Linked DNA regions of Lonchura striata. The protein of the gene in region 2 interacts with the protein of the main gene of each other region in a biochemical or structural test. Links are inferred from orthologs where the notes say so. Each region holds a gene or a part of one and is shown on either strand. Other genes may lie near its edges.

Evidence for each region.
Region 1: the proteins of NFYA (region 2) and ZHX1 form a complex in vitro, tested with the Homo sapiens proteins (2 studies listed by BioGRID). The link is inferred for Lonchura striata from reciprocal best matches to the Homo sapiens genes NFYA and ZHX1.

What each region holds. Positions count from the first base shown.
Region 1 is NC_134603.1:12,595,959-12,599,863, reverse strand, and holds the start of ZHX1 (zinc fingers and homeoboxes protein 1), read right to left. Parts: upstream 2,836-3,905; 5' UTR 2,726-2,835; intron 2,377-2,725; exon of another isoform or gene 1,842-2,376; intron 1-1,841. UniProt on the Homo sapiens protein: Acts as a transcriptional repressor. Increases DNMT3B-mediated repressive transcriptional activity when DNMT3B is tethered to DNA. May link molecule between DNMT3B and other co-repressor proteins.
Region 2 is NC_134632.1:3,937,833-3,941,737, forward strand, and holds the start of NFYA (nuclear transcription factor Y subunit alpha), read right to left. Parts: upstream 2,991-3,905; 5' UTR 2,881-2,990; intron 425-2,880; 5' UTR 412-424; coding exon 337-411; intron 1-336. Other genes in the region: ADP-ribose glycohydrolase OARD1, read left to right, coding at 3,425-3,500, 3,790-3,857. UniProt on the Homo sapiens protein: Component of the sequence-specific heterotrimeric transcription factor (NF-Y) which specifically recognizes a 5'-CCAAT-3' box motif found in the promoters of its target genes.

The DNA.
Region 1 (3,905 bases), on a different chromosome or scaffold from region 2:
GGTAGTGGGTAGCTGCACAAGTAGAACGGTACATTCACTATTGCTGCCTGTTTAGCAAACAAAAGGGAAAATGGGACTAAACTGAAAATTGCATCACTTGTTTACAAGTCCCTGACAACTCAGAAGCAAACCATCTTGGACATTTATGGATCAATGACCCTGCATCTAAAGCACAAGGAGAGGGAATATTGACCATTTACATACAGAAGAGAACAGCATGTCCATGCACTCAGCTAAAAATTTTCAAAACACACCCTCATGCCATGACTGTTATCACACAGGATTTTAACTGATCATTCTGAAAATTTTACAGCAAGCTCAGGATTTATAAAAATTAGAAAACATAACAATACTGAATTTGTACAATGAAATCTTTACTACACTTCAGCTTGGTAGATAAAGAGAAGCTGCTCACCAAAATAAAAGTTAGCCATAGCTTAGCTGCAAGTGATTGTGCCTTGGTTGTATTTATTATTCACGAACAAAAAAAAAAACCCCACAGGTAATGTGTACTTGGTTCTTTAAAAATTCCAGCTTCATTAAACTGCAAAAAATCCTGAACTCAGACTTAAGCAAAGAATGTGACTTCAAAGATGAACGACTGTTTTTCAAGTAAGACTCTTCTGAAGTTACACATAAACAAACGGGTCACCAATCACAACTAGATGAGAAAGTTAACCCAAAAATTAAACCTTTCCCTCAGACTACATATAAACAAATCGTGGGAAACCCAGGGGAAAATCTCAGCCATAGCAATAAGCTTAACTGAAATGCTACAGACGGCCCAGTGAAGCAAAAGACACAAGAAACAGCCTTCTGGGTACATTAGGAACAAAAGGAATCCTAGCAGTATTACAAAGTCCATTATTTGACCGAAATTCTTCAGTGTGGAGAATCTAAAAAAAGGAGCACTGTTCAACACATAGCTCTAAGTCCCCAACGGTAAGCATCATGATAAACTTTGTGATAAATATTGTCTATTCCTGTAATAAACAACAGCAGTTAAGGCTAGATATCGGGACACTGGATCCAGCTAAAGCACTCACATCAAGAATGTGTTGCAAGAGACGAAATAATCCAGAACAGAGCCATAAGAAACATTAAGAAAGTAGAAAAGTAAGGCTCACAAAGAAAACCTCTACCTCAAAGTACTAACTTTGGGGACATTCATAGTAAACATTACCCAAATACCATAGCAGAGGGCTTTTCAGTCTAGCCAAGATACAAGAACCACTAGCCTAAATTTAAAAGCAAATAATTTCAGTTAAACAAAATGGCATCTACTTCTAATCCGCTCAGGGGAATTCATTTAACACCACCAGTGGAATTGACTGCCTCGCTGGCAATGTTTAAAGAAAGTAACAAAAGGGTTTCTAAATTATGCATTTTTGCTCCAAGAGGTCTTAATTTAGGGCAGTCCTCTAGTCTACATCACACAGGTTGTTTTAAACAGGGTTTCTCTAAGTACTCACAAGCTTTCTTTTTTTTGGCATGAAATCCTTCTGAAGAAAAACAAAAAACAGACCACTGGTGAAAACCAACAGCACAGCTTTTAAAATTCCCCTCTCACTGCTATGTTTGAGGGAATATTTGTTTTCATGTACCAAGCTTCATAACAAAATCCACTTTTTATTTACACAATGCTTATATGCACTTTGAAATGCTCAATATATTCTCTATGCAAGTCTTATTTTAAGAGTAAGCGGCAGCTATGTCAGCTTGCAGATCAAGGCATCTCAGCCTTCACTATTTTACATGACATTCTACACAGTAAACTTCCCCATCTTTCCATTAACTATCTAACCTACCAAGCAGCTCAGAAATAAAGTGCAAGTACCTACCAGATAACATTCACTACTGCAGACACTCTGAGCCCTTTCAGAAATCCAGAACTGCCTCCATTACATGGTTTACTGAAGTTGATGTTGGTTTCCAGTGCTGCACATCCTGATACAGGGGAGAGCTGAGCATCAGAACGCACCCGAAAACCCAGGCACCCCCAGAGGAGCACACCAGACGTCTTCCCCAACTTTGCCTGCACATACACTGTACTGCTGCTTCATGCTCGCCCCCGCACCGCAACGCCACGGGATGCAAGATAACTCCGGAGCCAGAACTTCATGGCTCGCTGCCTACCGTCAGTCTGTCAGTCCGTCCGCGCTCCGGAACGCCAGCGGTGACAGCGGGCAGGAACTCGCCGGCTCCTCTGGGCGCGCCGGGATTGAACTTCTCGATTCTCCGTTCTGACTGACGAGTCAGACGGATTTTCCTCCGCCCCGAGGCGAGCAAAGCCCCGTGCAGGCTCCCGGCACGGGGTGGAGGAAGGAAAAGGGGAGAGGAGCTCGTCCTCAGAGGGGTCTGACCCCACTGCGGGCCGGGTCGGAGGGCACGCACAGCCCACTTCCAAGGGATGCCACGGCTCTGCCGCCGCCCCCGGCGGGCGATGACCCCCGGCCGCGGGGGCAGCGCCGCCGCCAGACAATGGGGAGGCGGGCGGGCGCGGCCGCCCCACCGCGCCCACCCCGCGGGCGCCGTCCCCGCGGGCCCGGCCCGCCCGCCTCCGCCGGCCGGAGCCGCCCCCGCCCCGGGGCAGCAGCGCCGTCCCGTCCCCGCCGGAGGAGCGCCCGGCCCGCTCCCGGGGGCAGCGGGGGCGGGCGCAGGGCGGGCCGCCGCGGGCGGCGGGGTCACCCTCCCGGCGCCGAGAGCCCCCTCAGCGAGTCCCTACCTGCCGGCGCCGTCCGCCTCGCCCCCTCAGCCCGCGCCGCCGCCCGCCCGCCGCCTGCGCTCACGGCCGCGCCGCCATCTTGCGCTTCACAAACTACTGCACTTCTTTCGGGGCGGGGGGGCGGCGGATGGGCCGGGAGCTCCCAACGCCGCGGCCGCCCGCGCCCTCGCCTCGCCCCGCGGCGCTCACTCGCATCCTCCCGGCGCGGCGCTGTCCCGGGGCGGGAGCGCGGCGAGCGCGGTCGGCGCGGCCGCTGCCTCAGCCGCCCTGGCAGCGAGCGGGGGCGGAGCCGCTCCCGCCGCCCCGCCCGGCAGGCGGCGGACACCGGGCGCGGGGCTGCCCCGGCACCGCAGCGCCGCAGCCCGGGGACACCGGCGCTTCCTCGGCGGCCCGGGGAGGAGCGGGGCCGGCGGGGTGCGAGCTCCCGGGCGGCAGCCGCTCCTCCGCTGGCAAACTTGGGCTCCGCGGTCGGCGCTCCTGCCGCGCCCGGGACGGGCTGTAGGGACGGCATCGCCCCCAGCCCGGGAAGGGTTTTCCTGCCGCTCCCGCCCGGAGCTGCCGCCGTGGGAGGGCACGGCCGCAGGGTCCCGAGACTCAAGCCAGGGCGAGTGAAGACAGAAGTAGCGGCTCTAACGAAAAAAACCTTTCTCACACCTTGGGTTGTTGGGTTTTTTTGTTAGAGAGCTTGGAGAAAGGAGACTCTCTCCTTTTACTACATACAAAAATATTTTAATCAAAGTTGGGTTTAACTCTCACTGCCCAGTTCTCAAAAATGTTGTTTCCCTACACTATTTTTCTTGTCATTTTGTGCTATTTTGGGTCAGACAAAATGTGACGCTTTCCCCAATAAAGTAAAAAGAAAGATGTGACTTGTGAGGAAAACTTAACTGTTCACAGGTGGACACAGAAGATAAAATTTACACAGTTGGGAAGCTTTTTAAAAATCTGCCTAGGTACAGGATCCTGTCGAGCCTAGTGACAGGAATACATTTGCTCAAAACAGAAGTTTTGATCTCAGGAATGTTTCTGGTTCTTCAATTCCATATTGTCAGTTTTCAGAATAGTGCTCTTAGGGGATGCACTCAAGCTGCCTGCCCCAAGTCACATTGAAATTGGTGAGAGCAGACAAGGAGGAGACCAAGTTAAGGACATTAGTTCAGTTATTACATTTCCAATGTCA
Region 2 (3,905 bases):
CCAGGTAACAGAAATCAACAGGTAGCCAGAAGGATCAGGATTGTGCTGCTGAAACCAATTCTTTCCAAACTGGGATGTGTTGCTGTTTGGATCCACATGGCTCCTGGGTTTCCCTGTGCTTTTGTTCACAGGTGAAGAAAAAATTGGATCCCTCAGTGCCAATCTTGTCCCTTTTCAATCCCAGCTGAGAAGGTCCCACTGTCCAAGCTCAGGCTCTGGCACCACCTCTCCTCAGGGAAGACCTCAGAACCCTCACTTCCTTGGAATTACAGGAAATCTTTGGGGTTTATCCCCACTGTGGGGTGCACAGGGCTCCCCCATTCCCCCATGCCATACCTGCTGCTGGATCTGCCCCGCCTGCACCACGATCTGCTCCGTGGAGCTGCTGCTGTTGGCTGTGTACTGCTCCATGGTGCCTCAGGCCCTGCAAGACAGCAAAAATCAGGGGAGCTGCTGCCCCCAGGCCTGGCCATCCCCACTGTCCCCCAGCAGCTCCAAGCCAAGCCAAGCCAAGCAGGAGCTGCCCCAGGGCAGGGCTCTCCCAGAGCTGCTCCATCTCAGTGATAAACAGAGGTGGCATTTCAGGCCCATCCAAGCTGAGTGAGCAGCAAAACCAGCTCAATTCTGGCCCAATTTCGTGGACTCTACCAGCTCTGTGAGTCTGCACATCCTGGGCTGCAGCCAGGTGCCCACACAGGGGAGTGTCACTGCTGGAAAACCTCAGGAAATGCAACATTTAGGTGTGAAATTGAACTGCACTTCAAGAATTCAGCAGAGCTGTGAAGACTTCTCTCCTCATTTTTCTTCCCTCTCCTCCTACTCTCATGGAATGGTCATTAAGGATCATCCAGTGCCACCCCCAGGTTGATCTAACCTGGCCTTGGACACTTCCAGGGATCCAGGGGCAGCCACAGTTCCTAACCCAGGGCCTCCCCATCCTCACAGGGAGGAATTTCTTCTCTAAAGAAGTATTTCTATACTCAAATACAACCTTCATGTATTTTGGGAAGCACCAGCAGATTTCCCAGCACCTCCATCCTCTCACTCCTTGGCCCTTTCCCTGGACACATCAACCCCACTGTGCTGAAATAAAAACAACTTTTCCTGCCACTACTTCTCTCCTCACTGGCCCTACAACAGCAGAATTCCTGCTTTAGTGAGGTGTTTGATTTATGCCATGACTGAACAAGTTCCTGCTGCACTGCTGAAAGAAAACACAGCCTGGAACTTTAATTTTCCAAGTCTAAAGCAACAAAACCTCTGGCTGCTTCAATTTTTCAAGGAATGCTGGCAGGATTAAGTCACAGACTCTCTGTACCCGTTGCTGTGGTTACTGCTGCTGTTTGAGTTCCATCCTTTGCCCATTTCCTGAGACTTTTTCACAGCCAGAATAAAAGAAGATAAATACTCTTTCTGAAAACGCTGCTGCTAGATTCTCATTTCAATTTCACAGTGGGTACTTCATTTCTGCCTTAAATTAAAATTTTTAAGTAAAATATTTAACAACTCTGTAATCCCAACACTCTGCAGCAGCAACCTAAAGATATGGACAAGGTTCTGCCAGTGCTGGATCCTCACCATCCAAGGGATTATCTCATCCCCTTCGTTAAACACGGAGTAGCCAAATTAAATATTAAAGATCAGGGATGAATCAATGGCAGAGGATGACAGCTCTTCCCTCAGTGAGCTCATGGGCAGCTCCTCCTCACTGGGAATGCTCTGGGAATCAGGGAGTGTTCCAGTCCCAGCAGTGGATATTTATATAGACACCATATATATATAAAAATAAATATATATATATATATTTAGGGATATATATAATATATAGAAAGAGATATATAGATAGATATATAGATATATATTTGCTGAGTTGTATAGGACTTATTAGGATCATCAAACTCCTGGCCCGGCACAGGATAACTCCAAAAATACACACAAATATTTATACATATACATATATAACACACATAATTTATATTTATACAAATATAGCTGCACCAGGAACAACTTCCTCAACACCCAACCCACACCAAGACCAAACCAGTGCCGCCAACAGCCCGAGAGCTCCGCGGCATCACTCGGAGCGTGTCCAGAGCTGCGGACCGGGCAGAGCCGCACGCCCACAGCCCCGGAGCGGGATTTAACACGGGGGCGGGCTGGGCACCACACGCGGAGCTGCCGGTGGGAGCCAGCGGTGAGCCGGGGGTCATCCCGGTGTGCTCGAACCCGCGGCTCCCCCAAGGGCCGGCCCTGCCACCGGAGCACCGCGTGCCGCCACACATCTGGGACCGGACGGGGTAGCCCGGACCGGCGGGGAGGCTCCCGGGGAGGGCGGAGCCCCGCCGGGGGAACCGGCCCGGCCCCGCTGCGGCGCTCGGCCCCGCGCCCCCGCCAGCCACGGTGTTCCCGGCCCCGGTTCCCCCCTCAGCCCCCGAGCGGCCGCGACCCCGCTCGGCCCGGCTCGGCCCCGGTTCCCCCCTCAGCCCCTGAGTGGCCGCAGCCCCGCTCGGCCCCGCTCGGCCCCGGTTCTCCCCTCAGCCCCTGAGTGGCCGCAGCCCCGCTCGGCCCCGCTCGGCCCCGGTTCCCCCCTCAGCCCCTGAGTGGCCGCGGCCCCGCTCGGCCCGGCCCGGCCCCGGTTCCCCCCTCAGCCCCTGAGTGGCCGCAGCCCCGCTCGGCCCGGCCCGGCCCCGGTTCCCCCCTCAGCCCCTGAGTGGCCGCGGCCCCGCTCGGCCCGGCCCGGCCCCGGTTCCCCCCTCAGCCCCTGAGTGGCCGCGGCCCCGCTCGGCCCGGCCCGGCCCCGGTTCCCCCCTCAGCCCCTGAGTGGCCGCGGCCCCGCCAATCCCGGCGCGCGGGGGCTCCATATTGGCCGCTCGCGCTCACCGTGCCGCGCTGCCCGGTCCGCGCCCCGCGCTGATTGGCTCCGCCGCGCGGCCCCCAAGTCCAATCAGCGCCCGCACTCGCCCGCCGCGCAAAATGGCGCCCAACCGCGGACAAAGGGGGAGAGGGGGGCGGGGGCGGGGCCACCCAACCGCGCGCCTCGCCCTGCCCGGCGCTGCTGCGCCTGCGTGGGGGCCGCGGGGAGCATGCGCGGGGCGGGTCCCGCCCCTAAGCCCCGCCCCCTGTGCGGAATGTTCTGGGCCGGGACCATGGAGGGGGTTCCGCCCACCCGCGCGCGCGGAGCGGCCGCCATGTTGTGTGGGGCGGGGCCGCCGTGTCGTGTGGGGCATGGCCGCCATGTTGTGTGCGGCATTACCGCCGTGTTCTGTGAGGCGATACCGCCGTGTGGGCATCCGCCATTTCGCCCGCGAGGCGGAGCCGCCGAGGCTGAGGCGGTACCGCCAATGCCGCCCCGAGGCGGAGCCGCCGTGCCGGCGGAGGCGGCGCGGCCGTGGGGCGGAGCCGCCCCTGCGGCTCGGCCGGAGCGATGTGGGCGGCGCTGGGCAGGCTCGGCGTGGCGCAGGCCGTGGGCCCGGCCCGGTTGATCGCTGTGCGCCCCGCGGGTGCGGCGGCCGAGTGGCCCTGAGGGATGGGAGGGGAAGGAGGAGGAGGAGGAGGGTGGTAATGGTGATGAGGAGGAGGGCGGCAGCCTGGGGGTGCTCATGCTGCGGTGACCCGCGGCCGCGGCCTCCTCCCGGGCCGGACCTGTAGGCGCAGCAGGACTGGGGATGTTCAGGGGTGTCATGGTTGTCCCGCTGTCAAAGATCAGTTAGGCTCAGCCTTGCCCCCTCTAACACACTCTTACTGCCTAGCTTGAGGTTCCTAATAATTGTTTTTCTCTCATCTTTCCAGCCGCAGGAGTCTTCTCCATACCCCACGTTACCATGGCCACCCACTTCTCCAAGGATCAGGAGGAGAGAGTGCGTAGGAAATGGGTTACATGGGATTATTATTGTCTGTTCAAAGAG